Schizosaccharomyces pombe: one gene and its partner. The protein of the gene in region 1 interacts with the protein of each later gene in a biochemical or structural test. Each region holds a gene or a part of one and is shown on either strand. Other genes may lie near its edges.

Evidence for each region.
Region 2: the proteins of ubc15 (region 1) and fbh1 form a complex in vitro, tested with the Schizosaccharomyces pombe proteins (one study listed by BioGRID).

The regions. Positions count from the first base shown.
Region 1 is NC_003423.3:3,514,582-3,529,902, forward strand, and holds ubc15 (ubiquitin-conjugating enzyme Ubc15), read left to right. Parts: upstream 1-8,188; 5' UTR 8,189-8,293; coding exon 8,294-8,338; exon of another isoform or gene 8,339-8,420; coding exon 8,421-8,564; exon of another isoform or gene 8,565-8,567; intron 8,568-8,642; coding exon 8,643-8,672; intron 8,673-8,689; exon of another isoform or gene 8,690-8,748; coding exon 8,749-8,974; exon of another isoform or gene 8,975-9,044; coding exon 9,045-9,103; 3' UTR 9,104-9,564; downstream 9,565-15,321. Other genes in the region: cell wall glucan 1,6-beta-glucosidase Exg1, read left to right, coding at 557-1,780; pmc4 (mediator complex subunit Med4), read left to right, coding at 2,908-3,627; TREX/TREX2 complex subunit Pci2, read right to left, coding at 3,885-4,173, 4,216-4,467, 4,523-5,020, 5,068-5,225, 5,292-5,423; EMP70 family endosomal transport protein Emp70, read left to right, coding at 5,780-5,978, 6,127-7,817; RAVE complex subunit Rav1, read left to right, coding at 10,092-10,178, 10,294-14,100; hht3 (histone H3 h3.3), read right to left, coding at 14,538-14,948; hhf3 (histone H4 h4.3), read left to right, coding at 15,186-15,321. UniProt on the Schizosaccharomyces pombe protein: Catalyzes the covalent attachment of ubiquitin to other proteins. Has a role in the formation of chromatin structures that influence the localization of transcriptional silencing factors.
Region 2 is NC_003423.3:2,723,929-2,740,327, reverse strand, and holds fbh1 (DNA helicase I, ubiquitin ligase F-box adaptor Fbh1), read right to left. Parts: upstream 7,119-16,399; 5' UTR 7,033-7,118; coding exon 5,223-7,032; exon of another isoform or gene 5,183-5,222; coding exon 4,356-5,182; 3' UTR 4,244-4,355; downstream 1-4,243. Other genes in the region: Ras guanine nucleotide exchange factor efc25, read right to left, coding at 1-126; cdh1 (SSU rRNA dimethylase), read right to left, coding at 2,384-3,172, 3,231-3,365; SPOM_SPBC336.16 (uncharacterized protein), read left to right, coding at 7,412-7,627; SPOM_SPBC18A7.02C (seven transmembrane receptor-like protein), read left to right, coding at 8,115-8,183, 8,237-8,315, 8,367-9,592; xpa1 (X-Pro dipeptidase), read right to left, coding at 9,715-11,070; ADP-ribosylation factor-like protein Arf1, read left to right, coding at 12,415-12,465, 12,534-13,025; protein Hsp78, read left to right, coding at 14,682-16,399. UniProt on the Schizosaccharomyces pombe protein: Involved in ATP-dependent DNA-unwinding in a 3' to 5' direction, and ATP-ase activities stimulated by the single-stranded DNA-binding protein ssb1.

The DNA of each region.
Region 1 (15,321 bases):
TCATGCCCAGTTCCTTTGTTCCATTGTTTAATTCAAAGACGAAAGCTCTAATTTAGATATCCTTTCTTTTCTTTCTTTACCTTTTTCTTTCTTTTTATTTTTAGAAGTCGCTTGCATTTTCTATTTTACACACTTTCCTTTACATACAGCCCGATTATCTGTTTTCTTCGTTAACATTGTTATCGTGAGTTTCAGTTTTTCTTCCTTTTTTTTTTTTTGCTGTCTGTATCGATATCCTTTTTAAAAGGAACTTCTTTTTTTTGAATCGGCCAATCACTCTGTCCAATTGTACATTGCTATTTTGTGTGGAACTGTTTTTGTACTTCCTTTGTTCTTACATTGCGCGGTCCATAAAGGTGCTCATATATATACCCCTTTTCTTTATACCTATTCTCTCTTCTGCTTTGAAGAACACATAAATATATACACACTCACTTGCTTTTCTCTTAGAATTTGAGACGTGCTTTTGAATTGAACTAAACTGGTTTCTTAACAGTTTTTCGTTCTCTTATTCGTTCTTTATATCTATATTCTATCTCTTTATAATATCATTAAAATGCTCTCTTTTACATCGGTTTTTTCTTTTTTCTTGCATGCATTGCTTCTCAAGACAGCATTTTCCTATGTAATCAAGCGAAATAACCCCGTTTTTGACTATACCTCGGAAAAAGTCCGTGGTGTAAACATTGGTGGCTGGTTGGTGCTGGAAAATTGGATCACTCCACAATTGTTTACTCAATTTAGCAGTATGTCGAATCCTCCCACTGATGAATGGGGCTTTTGTGAGGTTCTTGGTGCAGATGAAGCTGCCTCTCAATTAGCTGCTCATTATAGCTCATTCTACACTGAATCTGATTTCGCTACTATAGCTTCTTGGGGTGTTAATGTTTTGCGTATTCCTATTGGGTATTGGGCCTTTAATGTGGTAGACGGCGAACCATATGTTCAAGGGCAAGAGTACTGGCTCGATCAAGCTCTTACTTGGGCTGAACAATATGGCCTTAAGGTTTGGATTGACTTGCATGGTGTTCCAGGCAGCCAAAATGGATTTGAAAACTCTGGTAAGACTGGTTCCATTGGATGGCAGCAAAATGACACTGTAACTCGTACTCTTGACATTATTACCTATGTTGCTAATAAGTATACCCAATCTCAATATGCCAGCGTGGTTATTGGAATTGAGACGGTAAATGAGCCTTTGGGCTATGGTCTGGATATGGATCAACTTAAGCAATACGATTTAGATGCCTATAATATCGTCAATCCTCTTTCCAGCTCTGTTGCTACTATCATTCACGATGCCTATGTTGATCTTTCTATTTGGGATTATGGTGTTGTATCTCCTTCTTCATACAATCTTGTTATGGATGTCCATCGTTATCAACTTTACGAGTCGGATGAGTGCTCAAAGACTCTCGATGATCATCTTTCAGATGTTTGCTCCATTGGTGATTCCATTGCTTCCTCTCCCTACATTACTGTTACTGGCGAATGGTCCGGAACTTTAGCAGACTGCACGATTTTCGAAGAAGGAGTTGACTCTTCGACATTTATTGGACCAAACAGCGGTGATATTTCCACTTGGACGGATGAATATAAGGGAGCTGTTCGTCTGTTTATCGAAACTCAGTTAGATCAATTTGAACGCGGTGCTGGTTGGATTTACTGGACTGCTAAAACTGGTGGACCAAGTCCTACTTGGGATATGGGATTACTTATTGAATACGGCGTATTCCCTCAACCTTTCACTGATAGACAATATAGCTCTTACTGCGGTTAAGCAAAGCCATATCAAAGTTAAAAAAAAATTTTATCTATTCTAGCTGTATAACACTAATTTATATCTCACACATCGTTGTCATGTCCTGTCCTTGCATTTATCATCTACTATCATTTAACGTGCTGCTATCTACTATCCATTCAGTCTTTGTTTGTTTGGCATTATCTTTAGACATTAGTTTTTAATATATATTGTTGTTTTCGAAATCTTTTAGTTATGTGATATTAATATTTTGGTAGCAAGTTCCTACTAAATTAATATTTAGCTTAATAGTTTACGTTCAATATTGCATATTTTTTCGAACTCTATATTAACAGTAGCTGTACTTTGGAGAAAGTTGACCGAGAAATCTTTTTAAAGTTGTCCAATTGAATTTTCAATTATCAAGTATCTTCAGTTTACTTATATGAAATGTATTTTCTGCTCTACTCTTATAAGTCAGTATTGAGCCACATAGACGGACCACTTTGAGTTAGTCTCGGAAAAGCAAATCGACAGAATAGGTTTTCACTCAGCCACAGGTGACATATGTTTAAAATACTTTTATAAAAATTACATTTAAATTGAGCGATTTCTTGGTAAAGTAATATTACACATTTTCTGATCTGATATAGGCTTTATACGCATTAAACGAAATAAGCTCATTAAGCATTCTTTAACGAACTCGCTTTTTTAATTTAATGAGATATCTAATTCACTAGTATGTATTCATTATGTTGTCCCTAACAAGATCAAAATTGTTACACTGTAAATGTAACGTAGTTTGTCGACTAATTTATACGAATAATAGCTTTCTTCTTGCCCAAATTAGTGAAATTTGTTAGACAATTTAAACAATTAAAATCATATACAGAATTAAATTGACTAATTCTATTTAATCGAGAGTAACTTAAGTATTGTTCGTCGAGCGTATATACCAGCTGCTACTTATTGCCCTTGTGGAGGAGGACATTACTGTAATTTACCGTGTTTTAGCACATTAAACCTTTTAAGGATGTCTGTTTAACTAACGGTTACGGATGTTTAAGGAGTAAAAAGTCGAGTCTGCAAAATAACTGTAACCTGACCTACTAGATGATCGAGCAATTGTTGAGTAGTTAGTATATAGTAATCACATATGCTCCCCAATGGAATATCAAAGAGCCATTGATTCTATTGAAGAATGTCTCAATAAACAGTTAAGACTGTCATCCGAAAAGGTTGACCAATATGTACTAATAGAAAACTGGACCTCATTAGTAGGCCACTTGAAAACCTTACACTCTTTAATATCAAATTACACAAATGGTAGAGAATTACAAAATGAAATTAGTTCTTTGCTGAAGCAGGATAAGGAACTGGATTTACAAATTCAAGACTGCATGAGAGAAATGACCTCAATTTATGATACCCATCTTCCAAAAACAGTGTCGGGGAGAAAACGACAAAAAGTTAATGCTGAAACACTCCTTGATTATGGTAGAAAACTTTCCAAGTTTTCCTCTGCACCTCCTGGGTACAATCCCGAGACGGGTCAAGATGCAAAAGCTCCTGTGCATTATCCTTGGCCATCGGAGGACCAGATGCGAAAAACTCTGTTGTTTCAGTTTTCAACTAGCATGGTTCCAAATTTATCGGCTACAGCGTCCCAATTATTTTCTGAACAGCCTCCAAAGACGAACGAGCCAACGGAAACAGAAACAGAAATTGATGCGAACAAAGCCGTTGAAGAAAAAACTAAAATGAATTATCCTGCCTCTCCAACATTCACTACGCAAGAGGAAAATAAAGAAGTAGAATCGCCAGCTAATAAGGATGTCTTTGCAGGATTTGATCTTTTTGATCCAGAAATGGAAGAAGATTTTTGATTCTAAATTGTGTTATTTGTCAAGTGATATCTGGTATTTTACTTTTCTAATTATAGAGTTTTTTGCTTTGACCAAATACCCTTTTGTTTTAAAAATGAATAAAATTACGCTTTGCCGTTTAGACTGTATTTATTTAGCTTTCAGACTTCGCAAAGCAAGATGATTGAACACTGTTCCTTGCTTAACATTTGTCAATTCAAATTTAATTAATTTTAAGTATAATTTTCGAACAATCTACGTTTTCTGAGTTCATTTAATTATGCGTTAGCATGAAAAAATTCCTTTTCTGCGTGATCATTCCTTGCTATGGGCATAAGGCTCTCTATTACAGAAAAACCGAACGATGGGTCTTTTTTAAGGACTAAAGTTGATGATGCATGAATGATATAACCTTTAATATATCCTTGGTCAATTAGAGAAACACAGATACATTCGACATCGTCCATGTCATATGAGTTATCATTTGTACTTAAACGGGCCGCGGTTAACAAGTAAGAACCAGATACGTGCGGGGTTTTTTGGCTTTGCTCAAAAGTAAAAAGAAACCTTTTTAAATTAGTCGAATATTTTAAAAAATCTCAAACGTACACCTTTCTAAATAAATTCCTCCACAGGATGATTTCACATCTATCCAATAAAGTTAGATATATTCCTCGTTTGATAAACCATTTCCTCCTGGAATTGTCCTCCAAAGATAATCTGAACGACTTGATATCACCACTTTTCAAAGCTTTTATTAAAGGTTCGAATGCTGCAGTCAATTTGTATTTTTCTAATAGCCCTTTTGTTGGCGATTTTCCTAATATAAGTAAACACGTTGTAAGATAGATTAGAGAAAGCCTTTTTTGATTAGTAAATATAAACGAATCCTATTTTTGAGTAAAATAAAACATACCTTTTTTGATGATAACACTCATCAGGGCACTGAAGAAACGAAAAAAGTAGATGGTCCTTTGCCTGATGAATTTTGCGTTGATAAAGATGACACCTTCCTAAATAATAACGAAACGTTACTAATTCCGCCATTGTAGCGCGAGAAATATCGGCACCCGAAGAGATGACATTAGCTTGAATAGTTTGGCAAAGACGAATTTGCTTTAAGCGAAAATATAGTAAACAAAGTAAATTGGCAATACAGAATATCGCATCCTTCTTCGAAGGGTTAATGTTTTGTTGACGATCACTCAGTATACTATTGAACGTTCGTAAGACGTTCCTAGATGCATCGCTCACGTATTTCCTCTGTATGAACCCATTACCATCAAAAGAATCTTCTAAAGTAGGTGTAGATGTATCTAGCTGAAGGGAGAGCTTTACATAAAGCTTTGAAACGCGTTTTACAATTGTACACAACCATGCTCCATCGATATGGGAGAAGCAAGTTGTCAAGTTACTAGAAAAACAAAAGTGAGAAATAATAAACAAAAAGTTTTTAATTACCTATACAAGTTTTGTAACAATTCCCATTTTCGTTGATCAGGAGAAGATGCAGCATTTTCAACGTACTCAAAATAGGTAGTTACCAATTCCTTCCAACCTCTTATTCTTCCAAATTCTTTTTGAATGGTTCCGTTTAACTTATTTTTCCCCTTTCTATCCTTTATCACGGTTAGTTAATGTTATAACCTGAAGACAATTACTTGTAGTGCAAGCCTGCGACATACCAAAAAAAGAGTTTTACTGAGCTGTTGAAACGAGGGCTCTGATGGATCTAAAATAATACATTTCTCCAACGTATTGGAGTTTTTCTCTCCAACAGCGTTACTCAAAGTTTGCAGAAAGTCATTTAAGGACATTCCAACCTGTTCCTTCGCAACTTTTAGTACTAAACTTTCAATTATTATGTAACGATAAATAAGTTATAACAAGAAAACTCAACAGATATGTTTTCGCTTACATCGATGTTCTCCAACTCTCACGTTCTGAACCTCATATACGAATAACGAAAGTTAGCAGGTCGTAAACCGGTATACGAGGATTGTTAATAGCACAATAAAGAGACATACTAAGAGTACAGCAGCATTCCTCAAATTAAATGCTACCAGCATCAATCCCCAAAACCGTAGCACTTTATATTGATTTAGTCTTAATCATCTCGGTTTGAAAAGATTCTGTTTCGAGTCTTTGCCAAGAATTAGGGAAATAGTAAAATATGCTTTTACCTAGTATTCCCTCGTGTTCATTTAGCTTTGTTGTTTTCGTTTCCGTTCTTCTCCAAACCTGTTTTAGTTTTCAATTAACTCCCTTAAGTCCGAAAAACTATCCTCCCGGTGCTTCAATTGATACAACTGTCAATACCATTTCACCATTTATTGGAGATGGACGGGGTTCTGACATCTTTAATTATGAATGTACGTGGTTGATAGCTCACATGAAGGTTCATGTGTTTTTTTAAAAACTTTACAATTTTAAATTAGGAAAACACTATAGAAATATGATTTAATGAAGGATATAACATTTTCTCTCGAACTTTTTTGCTTGTTACTAACTTCACTTTAGACTACGATGAGCGTTTCCACTTCTGTCGACCAGAGAATATCGCAAAACAATCTGAGTCACTTGGAAGTGTGCTTTTTGGCGACCGTCTCTACAACTCTCCCATTGAAATAAAAATGCTTGAAAACCAGGATTGTGTTCCCTTGTGTGCCTCGATAATTCCCAGTTCAGATGTCAGTTTTATTAGAGATTTAATCTCCAAAAACTACGTTGTTAACTGGAACATAGATAATCTGCCCGTAGCAACATATTTAGAAGGGACTAACTCAAAGAACTACTCATTATCGCCAGGCTTTCCATTAGGCAAGAATACGGAGAAGGGAGTAATTCTATTCAATCATTATGATATAGTTATAGAATATCATACGACATCTAGTGACCAACACCGTGTTGTGGGTGCTTATGTAAAACCTGTCTCAAAGGAGTCTACTTTAGTTGATGGAAACCCAGTTTGTTCTTCGTCTTCAAATCCACAGTATTTACCGGAAGGAGCTGATCTTACTCTCGTGACCTCTTACTCAGTCTCTTGGAAATATTCCGATACTCCATGGGCTACCCGATGGGACAAATATATGCACATTGAATCTAGGCAAATTCGATGGATCTTTATTATCCATTCCGCAATTATTGACACATTTCTAATTTTTGTGGTTTCTATTATTTTGTACAGAACGCTAAATCGTGACATTAATAAATATAATAGCGCCTTTGTCGATCAAGAAGATGTTCAAGAAGATTTTGGTTGGAAGCTAGTTCATGGTGATGTATTTCGTCCACCTCGTAGACCCATGCTATTTTCTATCCTTTTAGGGACTGGTGCACAACTTCTTTTTATGAGCTCTGGTATCGTTTTATTTGCAATTTTTGGCATTGTTGCACCCTCTCGTCGTGGAAGTTTAGCTACAGCAACGGTGGCCTTATTCATTATATCAGGTTTCGTTTCTGGTTATGTATCTGCATTATCCTACAAACTGATGCAAGGTATGCTTAGAAAGCGAAATCTTCTGTTAACTCCTTTTGTCGTACCTGGTTTTATGCTTGCGGCAGCTCTTTTCTTTAACATGGTATTTTGGAGTAAAAGTTCATCATCAACTGTACCCTTTTCAAGCTGGCTTCTACTCATTTTCCTGTATCTATTGTTTACTGTACCATTAAGCTTTGTCGGTTCTTTAATCGGCTTTCGTTCTCGAGAGTTCGTCCCACCTGTTAGGACAAACCAAATCCCTCGTCAAATTCCATCTCATAGTATTTGGCTTTCGAGTTTTCCTAGTGCGATTATCGGTGGATCTATACCATTCCTCGTAATCCTTATTGAATTGTTTTCTATCCTTGACAGTTTATGGTTTCACCCATTGTATTTCATGTTCGGTTTCTCGTTCTTTTGCTTCGGTATTTTAGTAACCACTTGTATCATGGTTTCCATTATCACTGTTTATTTCCAATTGTGTTCCGAAAACTACAACTGGTGGTGGCGCTCTTTCATAACACCTGGATTTTGTGGAATCTATGTATTTATATTTTCAGTATTTTACTGGTTTTTTAAAATCTCATCATCTTCCCTTGCTACTGCCGTTCTTTATTTCGGCTATAGTTTACTGATTTCTGTTTTGGTATTTTTCTTATGTGGATCGGTTGGTTTCTTTGGCGCCTTTCTCTTTGTTAACAAAATTTATGCGTCCATTAAAATTGATTGATTATTCGAGGCATTTGTACATACCTCTTTATTTATTGTTCAATTTGAGCTTTCTCCGTTACAAACCTTATTAATCAACAAAATGACTTGGAGAACACTCTCTTTTATATTCAAATAATTTCATAGGAATATGCCGTTTTTTTTCGGTCATCCAATATATAACTACAGTTTGTTTTACTTTGTGTAATAAAACCTTAGGTACTATATCATAGAAGAAATTTGAAAATTGTAATCTTAACCAAAATGTTTACTTAGAGTAAATTAAATTTATGTTTTCTACGTTAAAAGCTTTATTATATGTTACATAAATAATACAAAAAAGGAATATTACTCTAACTATATTTACGAAGCTCGCCCAAACCTTTTTCAACTACCAGTATTTCGCCTTCAGCTCAACCCTACTTTAAAAATTGTCTTTATATTACTTTTTCTCAGTTTACCAAATATTTAGAACGTAATTATTAAAATATCGGAAGTATGCCTTCTTCTGCTAGTGAACAACTTCTTCGAAAACAACTAAAGGTAAGCGCACGAAATCTTCATATCCAAATATTCATGATTGTACATAGTATCTTAATTCTTGAACACATACTGATAGATATAGGAAATTCAAAAAAATCCTCCACAGGGTTTTAGCGTTGGTTTAGTCGATGATAAATCCATTTTTGAATGGGAAGTTATGATCATTGGACCAGAAGATACATTATATGAAGGTGGTTTTTTCCATGCAACATTATCGTTTCCTCAAGTATGTATTTATGTTTCACAGAAAAATAATATTTGTTGTATAAGGTAAACAAGCTGGTCACTAACCTCGAAAAATTAGGATTATCCTCTGATGCCTCCAAAGATGAAGGTATAGTAAATACATTGATTTTTTAATTGATAGAAACTACATAGTCTATGCCTAAAAACGATTCTAACGGTAACAGTTCACAACGGAAATTTGGCACCCTAATGTTCATCCGAATGGCGAAGTTTGCATATCGATTCTTCACCCACCAGGAGATGACAAGTATGGATACGAGGATGCTGGAGAACGTTGGCTTCCGGTACACTCTCCGGAAACCATATTGATTAGTGTAATTTCCATGCTTTCTTCCCCTAATGATGAGTCCCCTGCCAATATAGATGCTGCCAAGGAATTTCGAGAAAATCGTGAGTATATACTAACCTACAAACAAAAAAATTTACTCTTTAATAATCAAATCGTACTAACTTTTTCCAGCACAAGAATTTAAGAAAAGAGTTCGTCGACTTGTTCGCAGGTCAATTGAAATGATTTGAAGATAATGTTCAACCTAGGTCCCTAATTTCCTATATTTAGAAAAAAGGCTATGAAGGAAATTCAAGTCGCTGCATAGAAAACCTCCTAAGTCAACTAGCAGTAAAGCTTACTCAAAAAGTCTGTAGCTTTACAAGTTGAATTGCATATTTTATGCCATCTTTGAAGTATTGCCGTTGCCCATTTTTTGAATAAGTTTAGCAAACTGTTCATTTATTATCACATATAATGAAATATTGGCAGAACGGTTGACATTTTAAAACTAACAGCTTTTGATTCTTTTCTGTTTTTATTATAAAGCTTTCAAGTTTTTCAAGTGTTACAACCGCAAGTGATTTATCCTACTTCTTTACCAATTACAGCCATAATTTAGATAAACAACAAATAAAAATCTACATTTCACGATTGAATTTTTTTCTTTGAACAAACGTCAGCTAATACTTCGTGAATTGATAGTTTTCCATTGAAAATTTTCTATTCAAGTAATTATTTTCGCTTATACGCTCATACTTTATCAGCGACGGTTTCAATTCCGCGTTTTGCACAACATACATTGAATGCAGCGATAAATCTCAGTCTATTATATTTTACACTAACTAGCTCAATGTCTCCTACGTATCCGAATGACTGATTCAATGATTAATCAAACCAATTAAAGAATCTAGCGAAACTTCGTTGAGTTTGAAAATTAAATACTCAGAGTAACCATTTAAGATGAATATTAAAATTGCATTAAGAACCGTGAAAGCATTGCCTTTTCATTTAGCGTTTTTTTATTGCATTATGCTTAAACTTTTCAGAATGACAATTAATATTACGCTATTCCGCAGTATGGTGGTGTTCACACTGGTTCAAATGCGTATATGGAACGTAGACAGCTATTAGGTCAAATCAGATATTAATAGCTTTTATCATTGTCATTTCTCCCTTAACTATTTGCAAGTCGAAAAAAATCCAATTTTAGCTCATGCACAGCGTTCTGCAGTAAACATGCCTCTGGCATTCACAAATCCCGGTACACCTCTAAAACGTACAGCTGCCTACGACAATGTACAATGGAACCAAAATCGAATATTAGTAAGTGAATGGACGCAAACGATATGCGTTTGTCTGCTAGTGGTTAAACTGCAGAACGAAAGCAGCATGTCAAAGTATTGTTTCCAATTGAAGTAATTGTTTAACTAAATGGTAGACATTTGGAACTCGCTATACCGTATTAATTATTGTAAATAACTACGAATCTTATCAAAATATACAATTTGGAGAGTCTATTGGTGCAGTGGCTTTGGACCAACGTACGGGGTTTCTAGCAATAGCACATGGACAAGTTTTGGATATTTATAAGCCCGCCGATTCTTTGAAATGGACTCATCATTACAATTATATAACTCAGCTTTCTGAAGATATTACTCAACTATCTTGGGGATACAATTTTGATCTGTTGCTTTGTGCTTCGTCATACACTAAACTTATAAATTTCTCTGAAGACAAACCCAGGTTGGTTTGGTCGCAGAACAGAATCTCGGATTCATTCCTTAGTAGCACTATTTCTTCCGATGCTTGTTTTATAGCTTCTATCGAAACAAAAAATCCACTTGCTAAAGTTTGGCAGCGAACATCTCCTCAAGGTACAGTTAGCTCATGTGATGATTTCAGCTATCTTGTTCATCCTTGTCGCGTAAGGTTTTCCCAATGGTCTAAACACCTTCATCCGGACGCCAGTGGATCGACTCCCTTCCTGAGTACGGTAGGCTATGATAACGTTCTAAGAATTTGGCAAGTTGGTAGCCGATTTGGTTCTCAATTAATGCATCTTTCTTGTTTTCTTAACTTGAGAAAATACTACAAATCTGATCAACCACCATACTGCTGTTTTATTGATAAGGACGATTTTACTATAGCATTAGCACATGCTATAAGTCGCCATTCTGGTCAAGTGCATAAGGATCGCATTTTAAATAGGCTTCTGGCTTTGGCCAGTGGACAACCACATATATTTTTGCTATTTACTTTTGAATGTTTGTACATATTTTCTCTAGTAATTGACCAGGAAACTTTGTCATCTTTTGAGCTTATTAATCAAGTTCCAACGAACTTTCCCAAAGGCGCTCTTCAACCTGACGGATTTATACCTATTTACAGGACCTCAAAACACGAATTTTACGATTATAACATCATTTTATTTTTTCAAAATTCCGCCCGTGAATACATGTTTAGTCTTACCGATTTCTTTTATAGTGACTTTGAGTTAAGAGTTAGTTACGATTTTTATGGACATGATTATCCCATAAAAAGCTTAACAAGAACCTCTAATGGTCATGGAATTGTATCCCGAGATGTTAATCGTATCTGTATGTTTCAATCATACATATCGCAAGACGGGAAAAATCAGTTAATTTGCAGGTTCAGATTATTACTTGGAGAATCTGACTTTATATTACCTCTTTATGCTGGTGAATATGCAGCAGTACTCAACTTAAATTCTTTAAAATTATGGCATTGCAATGAAGCAATTCCTCCAACCCTTCTCTGTACATGTCGTCAAGTCCCTACTAGTCCGATAATAACCTTCTTTATTCTTCCTGTTCAAAACAACGATAATTCCGCCCTATGTGCTTTGACGGAAGGAGGCCATGCCTGGTTTTGGAGTGTCTCTAACGAAGCTCATGATGGTTCTGCTGTACTTCGGTTTATAGATCGGGTAAATTTTACAAAGAATTTAAATATCGCATCGGCTGTAGATGTCATGGGTTGGTCTTCTACTTTAAATTTGAGCAGTTTATCTTCATTTGATCAAGAGGTATTTCAATCAATATCAAAAGACGGTTTATTACAGACTTGGATGGCAAGAGTATTGGGAGACGATAAAGCGGAAATATCGGAAATTTCCAAAGTGCAAACTAGCATCAAATCTGCAACTATGATCAAAGGCTCAACATCCAAGAAAGTTGCTGTTGTATCTGAGAACAATCGTCGACTTTCAATTTTCGACACGCGTAGTTCAGAATTCTCTGAAAAGGAAGAATTTTCCTCTGTTTTTGATGATTATGGACCAATAAATGACTTGGATTGGACTTCTACTCCCAATTCCCATTCTATCTTGGCTGTTGGCTTTCTACATGATGTTATTCTTTTGTGCCAAAATCGCCGATCTTATATGAACGATATTCCATGTTGGTCTCGTATTCGTAGATACAATCTTTTAGAATATACAAATTCATTAATATCTGACTCTTCTTGGTTGGATAATGGGACTTTAGTTACTGCCATTGGTAACGGACTTTTTTATTTTGATAATTCACTTCCCGAAGATCAGTCTTTACTGTTCCCTGCATCATTGAAACGTTCCGCAAAAAATATTTTTGATCTTGCATACCAGCTTAATGGAATTTTACCAGTTTTTCATCCTCAATTGTTGCAGCAGCTTTTACTTAGAAACCAACCCTTTCTATTTACTAATATTTTGCTAAGGTTTTACTTGTGTTTGAAAGATGATGTAGATATGCATTTTCTCTTAAATATGGACTGCAGTGAGTTTTACTGCTGTGACGAAGAAATTTCTAAAGACCTTTTAATAAAAAGTCTCAGCCAAAATTCTGCGGAAATTCTAAATCCTGCGGAATTGGATTTTGAAGAGACCAGTGTCTCAAAGCATTTAGGATTATACATTGATGAAATGATAAAGAAGTTGACTGCATTATTAAAAGTAAAGAAAGTCAAAACCCTCACTCGATCATCTCAGTTTTTACTTCTTAATTTAATCGAGGCATTCAATAAGGCAAGAGCATTGCGAGATTCATTGGACCTCAACGGAAAAAGATATTGCATTATGCTAAACCAGTACGTTTTATCAAAACATCAACGTCAATTAACAAGCTTGCCCACCCGAGAGATGGCGTGGGCTTTTCATAGCTCTAACAAAGCTGTTCTGTTGGACCACACTAAAAAGCTTCATGGAAAACCATTGTTATGGAATGCTGTTGAAGAATATGCGATACCGTTTTGGCTAAATGAGCAGCTACTGAAAGATGTATTTTTAGAGCTGTCTCGCAATCATTACGCTGAGATTGACGATAGGAACCCAGAGAATGTTAGTTTATATCACATTGCTCTACACAAAATAAATGTATTTCGTGATCTTTGGCGTCTTGCTAGTTGGCATAAGGAATCAGCTCGAACGGTTAAGTTGCTTTCGAATGACTTTTCAAAAAAGAAGTGGAAAGTGGTTGCATCCAAGAATGCTTTTGCACTTTTAAGCAAGCACAGATATTTTTATGCTTCTGCATTTTTTCTTTTGGCAGATAGTTGCTATGATGCCGCAAAAGTATGTATCCGTAATTTAAAAAGCATTTCATTAGCCATCGCAATGACTCGAGTCTATGAAGGCGACGATGGTCCGACCTTAAAGAGGCTAATAAACGAGTATGTACTTCCTTTGGCTGTATCTCAAAACGATAGATGGCTCACCAATTGGAGTTTCACTATTTTAAAACAGGAAAAAAAGGCCTTGCAAAGTTTGGTATCTCCCATTCGCTCGCTGGTCAGCGATAATGACTTTATACAACTTTATACATCCGATAAAAACGACCAAGAAATTCACGAAAATAAAGATTCACAACGAAATAGTACTAACGAACCCGTACGAAATAAGTTTCCGTCTGATGATCCTGCCTTCATTTTGTTATATGAATGTTTAAGATCCAGCAACGTGCAAATTGATGAAAGTCTTGAATATCGATTTGTTTTGCATAATGCTAATGTGTATTGCCAATTAGGATGTGACCTAATAGCACTTGGGCTTTTGCGTAATTGGAAATTCCAAAAAAATCCTGCAACTGCTCATCTTGAAACTGAGGATTATATGGTAACTGACAAGCAGTCTGCAGTGGAAAAAACTCACGACTCCCCCAAACTTGGAAAAACTCTTATGGGACAAGATATCCGGCCAACACCGGACGATGTCCCCGAATTTAATGAATCTGCGTTCAGCTTCGAGTAATTAATTAATTATCGATACGAGTTTTTAAAAATACTACAAAAAATCAAATACGGTCAACCCTTAGTTTATCGTGTTTCAATAATGATATTAAAAATTAATTTACTATTAAATAGCATATAAGAATACAGATGAAGTTCCTCAGCGTTTCATTTACACAATTGCGCAGGACGTAAAGAGAGAATTAAAAATTTCTATACATTTCGAAAATAAAAACGTCCGCGGTATAACTCGAAAAAAGAAAACAAAAATATAAATAGATAGTGCAGCTCACGGAAACAAAAAATTAGACTTGCATATCGTTTGTTACATTCCACAACACTCAAGGTTAAATTTTGTTTCGAAAGGCAAAGTAAATGAGGGAAGGATTACAATGGGATAGACGACCAAAAGATTCCAAATCACACCATCAGATGGCAACCACAATTTGGTAAAGTTGCTTATGAGCGTTCACCGCGAAGACGACGAGCCAATTGCATATCCTTGGGTTGAATAGTTACACGCTTTCCGTGAATAGCACACAAGTTAGTGTCTTCAAATAGAGAGACAAGATAGGCCTCAACAGCTTCTTGGAGAGCACCAATGGCAGAAGACTGGAAACGCAAGTCAGTCTTGAAATCTTGGGCGATTTCACGGACCAAGCGTTGGAAAGGTAGCTTACGAATCAAAAGTTCAGTAGACTTTTGATAACGACGAATTTCACGAAGAGCGACTGTACCGGGACGATAACGATGAGGCTTCTTAACACCACCAGTAGCGGGAGCAGCCTTACGGGCAGCCTTAGAGGCAAGTTGCTTACGAGGAGCCTTACCACCAGTTGATTTACGTGCAGTTTGCTTAGTACGAGCCATTATTTTCTAGTGTTCTGATAATTGCCCTGTGTAGATAAAAACAAATTATAGGGAGATTACGCTGTATAAATATGTCCCTACATCCAACTTTGATCACAACCCTAACCCTTTAATTAAATTGACGTAAGTTAATAGGGACGGCGCATTAATATATATTGTGAAATGCCGCATACCCTACTAGCAATAGAAGCACTGTTTATAGTAGTAACTCTATTTCGTTAATATTAATAGTGCAATATGTCTGGCCGTGGTAAAGGTGGAAAAGGTTTAGGAAAGGGTGGTGCCAAGCGTCACCGTAAGATCCTTCGTGACAATATTCAAGGTATTACTAAGCCTGCCATTCGTCGTCTTGCTCGTCGTGGTGGTGTTAAGC
Region 2 (16,399 bases), 790 kb from region 1:
ACTCTTGTCTGAAAATGTGGGAGAAAGAGAATACGTAGAATAACTAGGAGTACTGGGTTTGGAAACAGAAGTCTCAAAACCCTGCCTTGATTTGAGGCGTAAACGATCCAAATTTGGTCTTCTCATTGTAGCATTGACGGTCTATATTATCTATCTATTTATTTTACCTCGAGACTTTGATATAAACAAAGTATATATGTTTGCTTAATTTAAAGTCACTTTAGGGTAGACAACGGCGAGTGAGTCAGGGAATTTTAATGTTTCTGCGAGGCATATCCTCAATTTTAAAAAGAAAAACAAGTTAAATAGTAGCAGTATAAAACCAAAAAGACCCCACGCACCAAAACACCAAAAAAAAAGGGTTTTTTATGAGTATATAAGAAACAAAAAGATTTTAAAAAAAAAATGAAGCAAAAAACGAAACTAAAAAGAGAAAAGGGAAAAAAAATACACCAAACTAATGAGTACAGGGAAGAAGCATACGCAACAGAACTACGATGCCACACGAAGTCCAACTCAGAGCAAGCTAGGCTCCGTATAAATATAATTTTTAAATGGAAATAAGTTAAGGAAAAGTGTTTTCAATTGCTTTTTTTTCAATTCCAACCAACTTTTACTATTTCAACAGCCCCCTTGTTGTAGTAGGTAGTGGTTGTGAATACTCTACCACCGGCTCTACCACTTTTGTGACTTTGCGATTAGTGTACAAGCGAACAAGCTCTTTGTCACTTTTGAGATGGGAAATTTTTTTCGAGATAACAATTTGTCAATTTTTGAAAATGCCAATAACATCCGGCCGCTATATGTTTTTTATTGAAACGTGAAATGCACAGACGAACAGAATGCTTGAAGGCCAAACATATGGCATCACGCTTTTTGCCGCCTAGGTTCCCAGCAAGTGTAAACCTTTGTATGGAGGAAAACACAGGCTTCAGGTTGACGATTTATATGGATTGTGAAGGCACATTCAGTATACCACTTTCACCACTACATTTACTAGGTTAACAATTTGAAATTCCCTTTGGAAGAGAATTGGACAAAGCTGCAAAACTCCTATGTCTATCAGCGGGAAAATGGATAGGGCCCGAAGAAGTGTCGCATTTTGCTAAGCGAATCTCAAAATGGTCGATATTGGAGCAGACGGCACTAAACTTTTGATCATGGATTTAGAATGGCCGAATGAATTAGAAAGAGCGACGGAGTATACCATTCATTTGATGAATGTAATTTGGGAAGTTGTTAGGGGTGTTCGATGGGTAATGTTATTTTGGTAATGAATTTGATCATATATTTAGCAATAATTTTGACAATATTTTTTAAATAAATTTCATTGATTCTTGTAAACATTTTCTTCACTTTGTTATCTATTTAATTTGATTTTGAACATTTTACCTTTTCTTTTAAACGTTTACTTAACTTATTTTCCATTTTATTTTACGGCATTTCAATTTTTATTTATTTTATTTTCTTATTTTATTTTATTTTATTTAATTTAATTTTATTTGCTTTATTTTATTTATTTAAATTTTTTTTTTCTTTACCCGTCTTTATATATGTTTGCTCCCGCAAGTCTATTATTTATCCTTAATTATAATAAATATAAACAAATGTGCATCGTCAATTCAGTATTAATGGTAGGGCATTTGTTCCCTTGAATAGCTTGAGAATTTTTTTTGTTTTACTTCATTTAATGATTTTATTTGGATTACGCTAATGTTGCGAATGCAATTGCTTTTTTCCCTGAAGAGGCCTTTAGGGAAGAGTACGGTCGGGAAATGAACGAAATTTAATGTGACAGGTTATTAGATTAGGAGAAATGTATGTGAAACTAGGGCATATCTGTTATTTTTGTTAAATCGAAAAATGGGATTAAACTAACACTAACACTACCACTTAAGTCATTTTTATTTTATTTATTATTATTTTTTTATAATTTGATAAAAGCTTTTTTCTGAATTGATATTATTATTATTATTCCAACTTTAGGCACTGACCTTCTCATTCAGTACCTATATGGTTCCTACATTACTTTGCGTTTAGATAGTAAATACTGCTGTTATTCAATTATTACAACTATATCTGTTTTCCAACGAATTTCCTTATTTCTTACAACTCTTCTTCCACTATTTTATGTATAGATTTATTTTATCTTTTATTTTTTACTTTTTAAATTAGTATAAGCATTGATTGTATTCTTAATGTTACCATCATTTCAACCAACTGATTATATATAAACTCTTACTGCTGTTACAAACGTCCCTATTTCTATTTTAATTTTTTTATATTTTCTGTTTTTACCTAACATTCCATAAAGTTATTATCCCAAAAACCCATAAATGATCCAATATTTAACGTTTCAATGGAAAACCCCATCCTGACCCCATTAAGCAAAATGAACGCCAACCTGATGGAAGGCGTGCAACAGAGACAAAAACTCTGTTTGTCCACACTTAGAAGCTCGGGCATCTTGAAGATTGCATTGTTGTAAAACTCCGTCAATCAAAGATTTTACATCAAAGTCTTCCTCAACCATGCGTTCGTTTTGCGAACACCACGTGCGATAGTTATTTTCGACCATTTCGATAATTGAAGAGGTTTTAAAGCAAGCACCAATGGTTTTATTTTTCCTTAAAAACACAATCCGTAACAGACCATCCCATTCCTCAAAAGCCAATGGAGGGGGTGGATTTTTTGGTTCTATCCGAACAACACTTGATTCAACCAAAGGTGGTGGTCGAAAGTTATTCTTTCCAACTTTCATGATATGCTTGACGTGAGCCCACATTTGCACATTGGCGGATAATCGACAGTACAAAGGGTCACCAGGCCTTGCAACCAAGCGTAAAGCAAATTCTCTCTGGAACATAAGAATTGCCGCACGAGGAGCCGGTCTCTGCTGTAATAATTTAAATACCAATGGTGAGGAAATTTGATAAGGCGTATTAGACACGCATACATCAAAGTAAGGAAGGTCGGTCTTAATCACATCACCAAGTACCACCTGCAATTTCTTTTCCTTTGGTGTCCCTTGCACACGCTTGGTGATTTCTGCAGCCATTCGGGGGTCCATTTCAACAGCAATTACTTTACGCGCCTTCTCAAGCATCCTTACTGTCAAGTTACCAGTACCTGGTCCTACTTCCAAAACAGTATCGGATTGCTTCAAATCAGCCTATTTGTCTTATGTTAGAAAATAAACCTCGTTGAAAAATTATCGCAATTTTACCTACCTTATCCACAATTCCCTGAGCAACCAGTGGGTTTTTAAGGATATGCTGGCCAAAATCTTTGTTGAATTTGAAAACTGTATTCCTCACTTCTGCATCAGAAGCTGCATTGTTATTCCTAACCCGAATCTTTCCCATGGCTGTTCTCGTAACCAAAAGGATTTGGTACAGGGCAAAAACTAGTTTCGCAGGTTTGCAAACTGCTGCCGTTTAGTGAAGCAAATTCTTCTCAGTCGTAATCAAGTTAGCGAAGTAAGTTAATTTTTAAATGTTAACTACACAGTTTGGTATCGTTTTCAACGATATGTAGAAGTGCCGTAAGTTTTTCTTGTGACCTATCATATTGCAATACGCAGGCAATCTGAGTATAGGTATTGTATTATCTAGGTTTCAATGTTACCTATCACAAATATAGCTTATAATTGAACCTCGTTCCTCAGTTCAGTTGGAGCTCTATTTATAATATTTATAGACACTTGTCAACAAAAGGAATCTATTCATATAGACGGGTAGTCACCCGTGATTATCAACAAACGGATCTTAACTAGTATTCCAACATATGACATATAGTGACACGCAACGTAGTGTAGTATGCTGACACGCTAATAAAGGCAAACGACCTTCGGTACCTTAATTCTAATACAAACTGTTTATAACTGCGTTATATTGTTAGCAAAGCCACTTAACGAGAGTATCAAAAGTTTGTTTTTTGTTTATTTAGCGTTGCGTGGGAATTCAGATGATGGGAAGTAATTTCTTGCTTGCTAGTTTTTGAAATCATCTTTATGTATGTTTTAGGTATAAACACTTAATTGGGTCATCGACTCACTTAATAGGAATCTTTTAAAGCACAAATATAACTTGATCTTCTGTTTATTTACACGAAGGGTTATTTCCATGGCTTTCTGTGTGTAATACTACAACTACTTTTAACTCTAACATGGAAAGTGCAGCGACAGATTGATATGAGTTTACGTTTATAAGCGAAATAGTAACATAGCTCTATAATGAAAATGTCCACACGAATATACATATTATTAAATGATTATATATTAAAGGTTGTAATAGCAATAGTACATCAATCAATATGGCTAAAATAGATTTTAAAAGAAACAAATCAAATAGTTTCTACTGATCATGTACAGCAAACAATTGATTTTCAATAAATAGCATCGATCTTTTAAGCCGTTCAGATGTATTCGCAATATAGTTCTGCCAAGCGCCTGAAAGAACTCCAAAAAATATATCCCATACTGATTTCTCATTTGCTTCGACCAAAAGATTGTATCCTTCAGCAGGGGTTTCATAAAAAAAGCTAAACTTGTCAATCTGCCAGTCGACAAAAAGAGCAACTTTTCCAGGTTGCAGCTGATCTTCCGTTAAAATGCCACCAGCAAAACGAACAAGTCCGCACTCTAATGCGTATAATTTGGTTATAGTGTCATTAAGGATAAGGCGTTTTTTAGCTCGCGTAAGAGCAACATAAAGGATATTGATTTCCTCTTGCAAGTACCTCGAAGATCCAATTCGTGAAAAAGAAACACTATCAAATTTTGGTCGAAAATCATTACCCAATTGAACATTATCCCATTCAAGACCCTTAGATTGATGTGCTGTTGCCAAAATAATACCGTTGTCACCATCGTCTTTAGAGTCCATCAATCTTTTTTCACAATTGTCCAATCGGCTCAGAAAGCTTTCACTAAATAATTCGTCGGCCATATCATATACTAAAGCCAATTCGGCATCTTCTTCGGCTGAGTTTTTTACGTGCACTTCAAATTCTCCCCAAGAGGAAAAGTCTTTTAACTTTGGGTGCGAAGGGCGCTGCCCATGCGCTAGTTCTGAACCACTTCGCAAAAGTTGGAATGCTTTTTTCCTCATTGAGCCAAGAATAGCAATGGGTATCTCCTTAGGTAATGACACTGATAGCCGAATCGATTGTAGGATTAATTCTGTATACGTTAGCTTTTATCAATATAAACCATTGCAAACCTTTATTAGTGCGAAAAATAATCGTATGAGGAAAAAATCGAAACGCTCCACTAACATTGTTGGGATTACTTGCTGAAGACCAATACGCATGGTCATTTTGTACCCCTTTAAGCTTAACGTTCTCTCCCTTTAATGAAAGCAAAAAATTTGCATATTTTGCAACAGAGTTTCCAAACCGGAAACTCTTAGTAAGGCACAGTTGCTTTGTGGAAGGGTACAAATTTTCATTGAAAGCACATGCATTTGCACCACGAAAACCATAAATGCATTGGTGTGCATCCCCAACGATGACAATTCGGGCGTGTTTCTGACGATAAATAAGGTCGACCATACACGGAGTAAAATCTTGAGCCTCGTCAAAAAGAATGTAGTCATATTTTGAAAAAATATTAGGGAATTCATACAAATGTAATAATTTCATATATGCATCAGGTATGAGAGGAGCATGGGTATATTCAAAGTTTACAATAAGAGACCACAATTTTTTTGTATAAGCCAAAAGCTTCTCTTTAGAGAGTTTTGTAACTTCCAGGCTTCTTTTACTTATATGACGAAAACCAAGCTGCCAGTCAGTGGAGTGCATGAACCTATTTAATGTAAACATGATATGAGAAGCTACCAAGCTAGCGGATGGTGTACCCGGATTATTTTTCCGATTTGCCTTTGGAAATGCAACTTGCAAAGACAAAAGTGAAGCTATAGTAGAATTTGATAATTGCCGCTCAAGTTTAGCTTGCGGCAAATCGGCCTGTGCAAGTATAGCACCATAAGCAAGACCATGCATGGTGGAGCATTTGACATTAAATGGAAATCGTAATTCTGCGTCTTCTTTTGCGGCCTTGTTAAAAGCAACATATAAAATTTTATCTTTTGGACGAGACTTGGCAAATTCCAATAATGCTTTGGTTTTGCCAGTACCAGCGAATGCTTTAACTTTTAGAACCTCTCCTGGGTTTAATTGACATTCAACAATCATTTTTTGTTCAGAGGTAAGGCCCTTAGTGTTAGGTTCATCATAAGGGGATTCAATGACAGCTACAATGTTGTGAATCCTAGTACACGAAGTAATTAGTGTTTGTGAAAGTGGGTCACGATAATGTTCATAATCTGTGCGGACTACAGTAAAGATAGAGTCCAGAAAATAAGCAAATTCTATAGCGGACGTTGAAGATAGCATATAAAGCGTATTGAAAAAATACCACAAATCATCTTCAAATAGTATCCCTACGAACAAACTTAAAAGCAGATTGCTAGTAGTAGTCCTACTTTTTAGAGAAGATATAGCTTCTCGAGCTGCAGGGGAGAAAAAGCTTTGAACCTGCATGCATATTGAGCTTATCCATTCTAAAGGAACATCATCTATGTGAAAAAAAGATGCTTTAATAGAACTTCCAAGATGATCAACTGTATGAGTCTCACTGACAAGATGGTCAATAGCATGTCCAATTTGTTCCACTTTCATAGGACCCGGGGGAAGCCCACAAATATTTTTTATTTCATCTGATTTACTATAGTATTCTCTCTCAGCTGGTGTGGATGAAATTTGGGTGCCATTGACAAATCCATTCATCGCTGAGCTCGAAACACCAGCAGCATAAGAACCACGAAGCAATCGATTTCGACGAATTCGTAACTCATAATTTTTCTTTTTCCAAAAAAGGTCATTAGAAGAGTCTAAAATAGTTTGAAAGGATGGGAATACACGTATGAAACTTTGGATATCCTGAACAGAAAGAAACCTGCAGATCAATGGGATAATTTCAAGTGGCAGTCTATAAAATTTGCAGCTATGTAAATGTTGAGCACTCATATAACTAAGAATTTGCTGACTGGGTGCTTGACTGAAAAGAAAGAACAAATTGCATTAGAAGAATTGCTTGTTGGTTGGGTATGTGCAAATTTAAGAGTAGTAAAAATACCAGAACTAGTTTATGAATGAGCAACGAACATTAAAATAAATCCAATCTTTTAAAATAAAATACATTCCTTAACCTATATAATTATTTCTCTCCGAAGCATGCTGTCGTTACAGAAATACTTTAACCATCTGCAAATTGAAAGAATTCCCATAATTTCTTATGTAAAAGTAAGTTTCATTGAATAAATAATTAACTCAAAAAGACTCTATTACTTTTTGTGTTGAAAAAATCCTCTACTTTATTTTGTAAATTGTAATTTTTTATTAATTGATGTATCATTCTTATTCTCATGATTTAACTAATTATTTATATAATTATTTCTCATCAACGACCTCTTGGTTGGTTTTTATTATACTTTCTTTAGACACTATAAATGCCACGTTTAGCAATATCACTTTTGTTGATATTTTAATGGAAACCGGTTTCACCAAAAATAGAAGTTTAGACCAGACAACATGCGGTATTAAATTCGGCTTCGTCAACTAAATTTTTTTCTACACCTAGTCTATTTATTCATCAATGCTCTCAATTTATTAAATGAAACCGAATAGAAGGATAAATCCTCACAATTTTCTTTAATTGCGGAAAATACATTTTACGGTTGGTAATTTCTGGGCCGATAACAAAGAAAGAATTCACCAGTAGTCAATGATGTTGATCCTTAGCGAAATTCAGCAAGTCAAGCAAAATTGTTTATAGAAAGAAAAAATTAATTAAAATGTTGATGTCCAGGCTCGAATCAACACCTTTCTCAGCTATTTTTTGAACCTTGCTAATCGCCTAACTATAAATAAATTACTATTTATTAAGTAGTCAATAACCTCCACCAACTTCTGAATCTCAACTTTGGCAGATAATCCGTGAATCGGTTTTGGGAAAAAATATTTTGTACATTGATTTACATAACATTGGTATTTAATTTTTGTTCCCAGTCCTTCGAAGTATAAAAAATCTAATGCTCTCATCATAAACCATGAAATTACTGATATCTCTTCTATGGAGTATATTCTTTTCCATAGTTTATTCAGAAAAAACATTACTGGTAAAACAATCAGATTTCTTGCGTATCATTTGCTAACTGCGGCTTCTTGCTAGAATTTCAAGCATTATGAATTGTGCAATGGCATTTACTCGAAATCGGAATCTGGAGGGTCTTTAAATCCAGCAATTTATGGTATGTACATATCTTTTTTTACGCTTTTATTTAAAAAACTTACGACGTTAGTGAATTGGACTGAACCATGGGGTCAAGAAGATGAAGTTGAGGTTTTGATATTCAATTGGAAAGAAATCCGCAAGTTAGGTGCATTCCGTTCTGATGATCAATTCACTTACATTTGCGATTACGATGCGGTATACACGGATCACCTATGTGAAGCCGATCAACTGGGACTATATTTGTGGAACTCAACGTCAGCAAAATCCATTCGTTCTTATATAATTCCGACAAATGCTGACCCTCAAAACATTATATATGAAATCTCTCAGTCAGGTTATTATTGCATTTGGTCTCATTCGAAAAAAATGTTACCTTATCAAGCTCTTGTCAATTGGCAAAATGCGTATGGTGGGCTTCCCGCTTCTCAATTCCCTAGAATGCCTATATCTGGTGGAATCACAATCGCTTATAGTGTAATTCTTGCACTTTGGATGTTTTTCCGATTTCAATATAAACATTCGATTGTTACCGTTCAAAAGGCAATTATGTTCTTGCTAATCTTTTCGTGTGCTCAACAGGCTGTCACTTCTATTGTGTTGGATACAGAAAATTTGAGAAATCGGGGGAACTTCACATGGTTAGGAGAGACTCTGGTGTCAATTTTGTTTGCGTGTCAGTTAGTCTTGGACCTTGCGTTATTATTAATACTCTCTTGGGGATATACCCGTTATTCAACTAACATGCGTGATCGACTATTTACTGAAGCAAAAATTCCTTTAATAATTTGTTTCTTCGCTCTTTTTGTAGTTCGCTTCTTTGCAATTACCATTCAATCTATTCACCTCGGCCTTTGGTTTTGCTTTTTCTTCCTCACCGCTTGTATTTCAGCGCTATATATCTTGTTTGGTGCCTTTGTTGCGTTACCTTCAACTCTTCGCGCGTTGGTTGAACAACGGTACTATACGTTGCATAGCATCTATAAAATTTTCCGAATAATGGTATTGTGTGGTGTTGTTACCATTTTCTCATTTTCTCTAGTTGCATTGATATTTTGCTCAAACACTAATAATAACTCAACAAACAAACTCTGGAAAATACGCTGGTATTTCTTAGATGGATGGATTGATGGTGTGCATTTGACTTACTTAATTACATTATCTTCTTTATGGCGACCATCTCAGGAAAACCCCGATTTAGATCCTACAGGCCTTAGTTATCCGGTTTTAGATCCTCGTTTGGAAGAAGAGTTAGATTTATTAGAGGAAGATATCAGGGCGGATAAATCAAAATAGTTTTTTATGTTCAATTTCTTTCGTTGATGAGTTGATTTTATTTCAATTACTACTAATGTTAATAGTATGAATTAAATTATTTGATCCAATTCAGGTTACAATCACAAAAAATCACATAAATATTAAGGCTCGTAGGGACTTTTTGCCCTAAAGTTTGTTAATAGAATAGGAACATCAGATGCTAAAACAGCATCTTCAATACGAATTCCAATTTCGTCAGGTATGTAAATTCCAGGCTCAACAGTAAACACATTTCCCTTTTGTACAGGCGTACCTTTATTGGCAGGATTAAGGTAAGTTTGTTCATGCTCTTCTAATCCTAACCCGTGTCCCAATCTGTGTATAAAATACTCGCCATAACCAGCATCTTTAATTACTTTTCTGGCTGCTAGGTCAACTTCTGCACAACTTGTGTTCGATAAATGGGAAAGCATCTGGATGCCGGCCGTCTGGGCATCGTAAACCAAATTCCAAAGCTTCTCCATCCTCTCAGTCATCTTTTGGCCATGGGGAAGTACAGTTCGGGTGCAATCGCTATGATAGCCAAACAAAGTAGTACCAACATCCATCAAGACAAATTCGCTTTTTTTCAATCGACGATTCGATGGACCTCCATGTGGCATTGCTGCTCTTTCACCGAACAAAACTATCGGTGACTCTTGCACAGGCAATCCACCGTAAACAAAAAGCATGTTAATCACTTCCGCCAACTCTTTCTCCGTAATACCAGGTTTAATACACGGTTGGACAGATCGTATAGCTGCCACAGTTGCAATATTGACCCTTGACATAATATCTACCTCAGCTGGACTTTTTATTTCCCGTAAACTCGCAACACGGGGGGACACCCCAAATGTGGTAAATCCAGCATACTGTAAACCTTGTGCAATGAAATTTCGCACAGTACCATCTATCATTAACTTCAAAGGTCCTAACCGGTCATATAAAACTTGATAAGGGTTTTCGTCTTCATCCCAAGTGATGTATTTCGCATCAATGTTTTTGCCAACCAATTCTTTAGCACGTGGTAGCTCAAACTTAGGTACTAGAAAATATATTCTTGATGCCACGTCTCCTGGATAGGGTTCATCGTCTGAAAATATTATTCCCAAAAAAGGTCGCTCAGAAAGACCCCAGGAGCCAGTAGTGATATTTGCAAAATAATCCATTGAAACTGTAGGCTCCATAATTAGAGCATCCAACTTATCTTCACGAAGTGCAGCCGAAAGTCTCCGCCTACGATTGTTGAATTCTTCATGTTGTATTGAAATTGCTTCATTAATCATCGGTGGAACATAAATCATTGAGGGAACAGCGCATTGGTAAAGCCTTTGCACTGTATCTGGTTGTAACAGTGATAGGAATGATAATGCTAAAAGCGCAAAAATGAAGATGGAAATGCATGCGAAGAGACATTTCTTAAAATTTCTATTCAAAAAATCGGTACCTCGTTCAAAACTTGATTCAAAAGAAACCATTTTTGAGCAATTCTGCTGATTGAAGAGAGGTGGTGCTGAACTATATAGTATGTCAGATATTACTGACTATCAGATTACAGCATTGAGTTAACCGAAGATGCTACAATATCGTCGCTTTTGTATATATTTTTATTAAATTAAAAAGCTTTATTTCGTTTATTAGTTTTATAAAAAAAACCTATATGAGATTTGAAAATTTGGTGTATCAATTAGTTTCCTAACAAATGAAAAATTCCCCTGTCCTATTTCAATCAAAATCTTACTCTTTAATAGTTGGTCTTCAAGTCAAATATAAATACCTCAAAGGAATGTTAATCAACAATAATAAAGTAGTCGCTGTATAGTTCAATTCCAAAAATTTCAGTAAGCCCTAGTGTTTCACGTACTCATTTTAAGTTAACTTAAAAAGAGCTTTACATTTGAAAAGAAGCTTCATTTTTGCAATTGATCTCGCATGGTTTCATATGCTCTTGATGGTTATGTTTCTATTATTATTTTATAGTTTACTGCCTTGTTTAAGAGCTATAAATTGACCACTTTTTTAAATATTAAAAACATTCATGAATACTTTTCACAGTGTCATAGAATTAGAAATGAAGGTTTCATCTTACACCTCAAAATCACCTTGTTACTCAAAATAAGCTATGAAAGTGAACTTGTTGATTCGCATTCGGTTAATTCATCCTTCAATTTTGAGTTCCTGCAGCATAAGAGTGTTTAATCCTTCATTTTTAAAAGGTTTATGATCTTTTAGGTACTGTGATTTACAAAACAAATGTAACGAGTTACCTATATAATTGACGCGATAATTGATAGCCCATAGTATATAAGATAATAAAAAAAGTGAAAAATTTTAAAAAAAATTCAAAGGTTCTTTTCAGTCACGGTCATTATAAGAGAGTTGTTGTCGAAGTTAAGAAAACAGGTTGACATCCATGCTTAGACTCTTTGATTTTTAGCAAGAAGGGAATTATGGATATTTAACATACTGTAGTTTAAAAAAATAGTATCTATTTTAGATGTTAAGATCTATAATCAGTTTCACTTAATTTTTATTTACAAGTCAAACTGGTAACAGGGTGGAAGTTTGGGCTGAGGATGGGTAAAAAAAAAATACATAAATTTACAGGGAGAATTTTTATCCGAGATTTTTATTTAATAAATAAAAAATTTCAGACATGAAAGGCGAATATTTTCAAAGAAAAGCATAGGTGGTTCATTTCTGGTGATAACGGTCACCGTAATTCCAGCCATACTGCACCGCACACCACCAGATAAATTTCTTCTTCCACCAAAACCACTACCAAATAGAAAAACATTCGGTACGAAAGAATATAAGACATAATGGGTTTGAGTATTAGCAAATTGTTCCAAAGCCTCTTTGGCAAGAGGGAGGTAAGTGAAAACCTTTGAAAAGTTTGAAAAAGAAGGACTTTTATTAATAGTATCGTTTGTTTATGTAGATGCGTATTCTCATGGTTGGTCTTGATGCTGCTGGTAAAACTACGATTTTATATAAGCTCAAGCTTGGCGAAATTGTCACCACAATTCCTACCATTGGTTTCAACGTTGAAACTGTTGAGTATCGCAATATCTCTTTCACTGTATGGGATGTTGGTGGACAAGACAAGATTCGTCCCTTGTGGAGACACTATTTCCAAAACACGCAAGGTATTATCTTCGTTGTTGATTCTAATGATCGTGAACGTATTTCCGAAGCCCATGAGGAGTTACAACGTATGCTCAATGAAGATGAGCTTCGTGACGCGCTTTTGTTGGTCTTTGCCAACAAACAAGATTTGCCTAATGCTATGAATGCCGCTGAGATCACTGATAAGCTAGGACTTCATTCTCTTCGTCATCGTCAATGGTACATTCAAGCCACTTGTGCCACTAGCGGCGACGGTCTTTATGAAGGTCTTGAATGGCTTTCTACCAATCTTAAGAATCAGTAAATTTTATATACTTGTTACTTTTTCCCTGAGTTCAGTCGTCCACATGTTTAATAGCTATATTTTCTATTTCCCGTGAATTCCATTAACTATTTGTTCGAATACTTCACTGCTTCTAGAAAAGGAACTGTAACATTTTTTTTGGCGTATATCTTAATCATGTGTCTTAGATAGTTTCGGATGTTCATTACTGAATTCGCATTTGCATTTCCGTCCCGTTGCTATCTTCTAATTACTTTATGCATGAAGTAGGGATGAAGGTTGCATTTTTAACTCCCTAGTTCCTATCCTAAAGGTATGGGTTGCCAAAGTTGTAGTTCCCACTAGTCATTCGCTTGCCACTCATAAAAGCTTTGGGAGCTTTGGTCTTTGGTAATTACTTTGCATGCTATGTATCATAAGTTTTTATTGCATGCAGGGTGTCTTGAAAATTAACCGGTTTGACTTTTCTATAATGCACGTACAGTGCTCTGTTCAGTCATTGTTATTGTAACGCATACCTTTCATGGACTGCGAGCTTGAGAATTGGTAAATGGAATGGGATCTTGTGTATCTATTTGGGGGTTTATTAGTGATTCGGCTTGAATTTTGATTCAGCATATTTGATGGTTCTTGATTGATAGAGAAAAATGAACAGCTTGCTTTGCCACGAAGCGACCTTCATGAAGTTAGGCGTCCATGGCTGACTCCTCATGAAGTAGAGAAATCGTATGCACTTGTCAGCTGGTGATGCACGAGTGTTTTGCATTCCATAGTTAATGGAAGTTGGATATTCACCTTCTTTTCTTGCTAGATTTACTGTTTTGGTTGCGATTTTACCCTGAATGGTTATTATCTCTTCCTTACTCAGTAATGTTTGATGAACATTTTATAAATGCTTGCTATATGGGGCGATGCTCAGGAATTCATGTATTACACTCAATGTTTGTTGAAATAACATTATATTGACAAATTTTTAAATTGTAGCAGTATGTACCAGTAAGGATATGAATGATTTAAGTATACAATTTGCTAAACGTTTTGAATCTATCAAAAGAGTTACAGCTAACGACTTATAAATAGTCTATACCGCTGTTTCAATTAATCCCAAATAGTTTTTAATTAATAGCTTGCAAAAACGTATTCTTAAAATTAGCAATTACACAGCAAATCTGCCAATCATTCTAATCTTGTAGACATTAAGAAAGCTATTAGAATAGAAAATTATAAAAACAGAAATTGATAACAATACTTCGTTGAGAAAGGCCCTTTTTGAAATTTCTTATAAACGTCGCTTATTTACTTTCATTCTGTTCTTCTCAGTTGCTTCGTCCAAGAGCAATTCGTGCTACATATAATCTTTTACCTCATATTCTTTTATTTAACGCTATCATACGATGGATGCTAATGAATTGTAGATTCTTTGACCACAATATAGATATCGGTGATAAGGCTACTGAGTAAGAAAAATTGTCAGTTGCTCTTACTAATTTGATGCAGCTTGCAGTTTAAAAGAGCTCTTTTACGAAAAGCAACGCACGCGTTATTTGCCAACCTTAGTTAGCTCGTTATAAGAATTTGCTACTACCTTCCAGGTAATTCTTTAGTTAGCCGACACTTTATAGATTCATATATATATATATAAGCAGTAGGTAAGAAAATGAGAAGATTTCGCAAACCATGAATATTTTACCTAAGAGTATTCCGATACGAATACAATCGCTCCGTAGGTACCAAGGAAGTTTAAAAACTTCTCTTCGGGCATTGAGTACTCGACCCATTTTTGAAAAACGGCTGTTAGCTGAAACACCATTTTCTATAAGACCAAGTAATGCTTCTGTACTCATAGCTAAGAGATCTCCAAAGTTTGGATGGAAGCAAGTACGCTTTTATGCAGCAAATCCAAATGGAGGAAATTTTCGAATGGATTTAGGCGGCGGACGCAAACAAGGAGCCGCTTTGGAAGAATATGGCACAGACTTAACAGCCTTGGCTAAACAAGGAAAATTGGATCCTGTAATTGGGCGTGAAGAAGAGATTCAAAGAACCATCCAAATTCTCTCTCGACGCACAAAGAATAATCCTGCGTTAGTTGGTCCGGCTGGTGTAGGTAAAACAGCAATTATGGAGGGATTAGCCTCGCGAATCATTCGTGGAGAGGTCCCTGAGTCCATGAAGGATAAACGTGTTATTGTCCTAGATTTAGGCGCTCTCATTTCAGGAGCCAAATTTCGGGGAGATTTTGAGGAACGTTTAAAATCTGTACTGAGTGACCTGGAAGGAGCTGAAGGAAAGGTCATTTTGTTTGTTGATGAAATGCACCTTTTACTTGGCTTTGGTAAAGCTGAAGGCTCAATTGATGCCAGCAATCTATTAAAACCTGCTTTAGCCCGTGGTAAATTGCACTGTTGTGGTGCGACAACCTTGGAGGAATACAGAAAATACATCGAGAAAGACGCTGCTTTGGCAAGAAGATTTCAAGCAGTTATGGTAAATGAACCTTCTGTAGCTGACACCATCTCAATTCTTCGTGGTCTGAAAGAACGATACGAAGTTCATCATGGTGTACGTATCACTGACGATGCTTTGGTAACAGCAGCTACGTACAGCGCTAGATACATCACCGATCGATTTCTTCCCGATAAAGCCATTGATTTAGTCGATGAAGCCTGCTCCTCTCTTCGCTTACAACAAGAGTCTAAACCTGATGAATTGCGGCGTTTAGACCGTCAAATCATGACTATACAAATTGAATTGGAATCCCTTAGGAAGGAAACTGACACGACATCGGTTGAGCGACGTGAGAAATTGGAGTCCAAGCTCACTGATTTGAAGGAGGAACAAGATAAACTATCTGCGGCATGGGAAGAAGAGAGAAAGCTTTTGGACTCCATCAAGAAGGCTAAAACTGAACTTGAACAGGCTCGAATAGAGCTTGAGAGAACACAACGTGAAGGTAATTATGCCCGTGCTTCTGAGCTCCAATATGCGATTATTCCTGAATTGGAGCGTAGTGTTCCAAAGGAAGAGAAAACGCTTGAAGAAAAGAAGCCATCCATGGTACATGATTCGGTTACTAGCGATGATATTGCGGTTGTTGTATCAAGGGCGACAGGAATTCCTACCACTAATTTAATGCGTGGTGAAAGAGACAAGCTCCTTAATATGGAACAAACTATTGGCAAGAAGATTATTGGTCAGGACGAAGCTTTGAAAGCGATAGCCGATGCAGTTCGTTTATCACGCGCAGGTCTCCAAAACACCAACAGACCTTTGGCATCATTCCTTTTCCTTGGACCTACCGGTGTAGGTAAGACTGCACTTACCAAAGCTTTAGCAGAGTTTCTATTTGACACTGACAAGGCTATGATTCGTTTTGATATGTCCGAGTTTCAGGA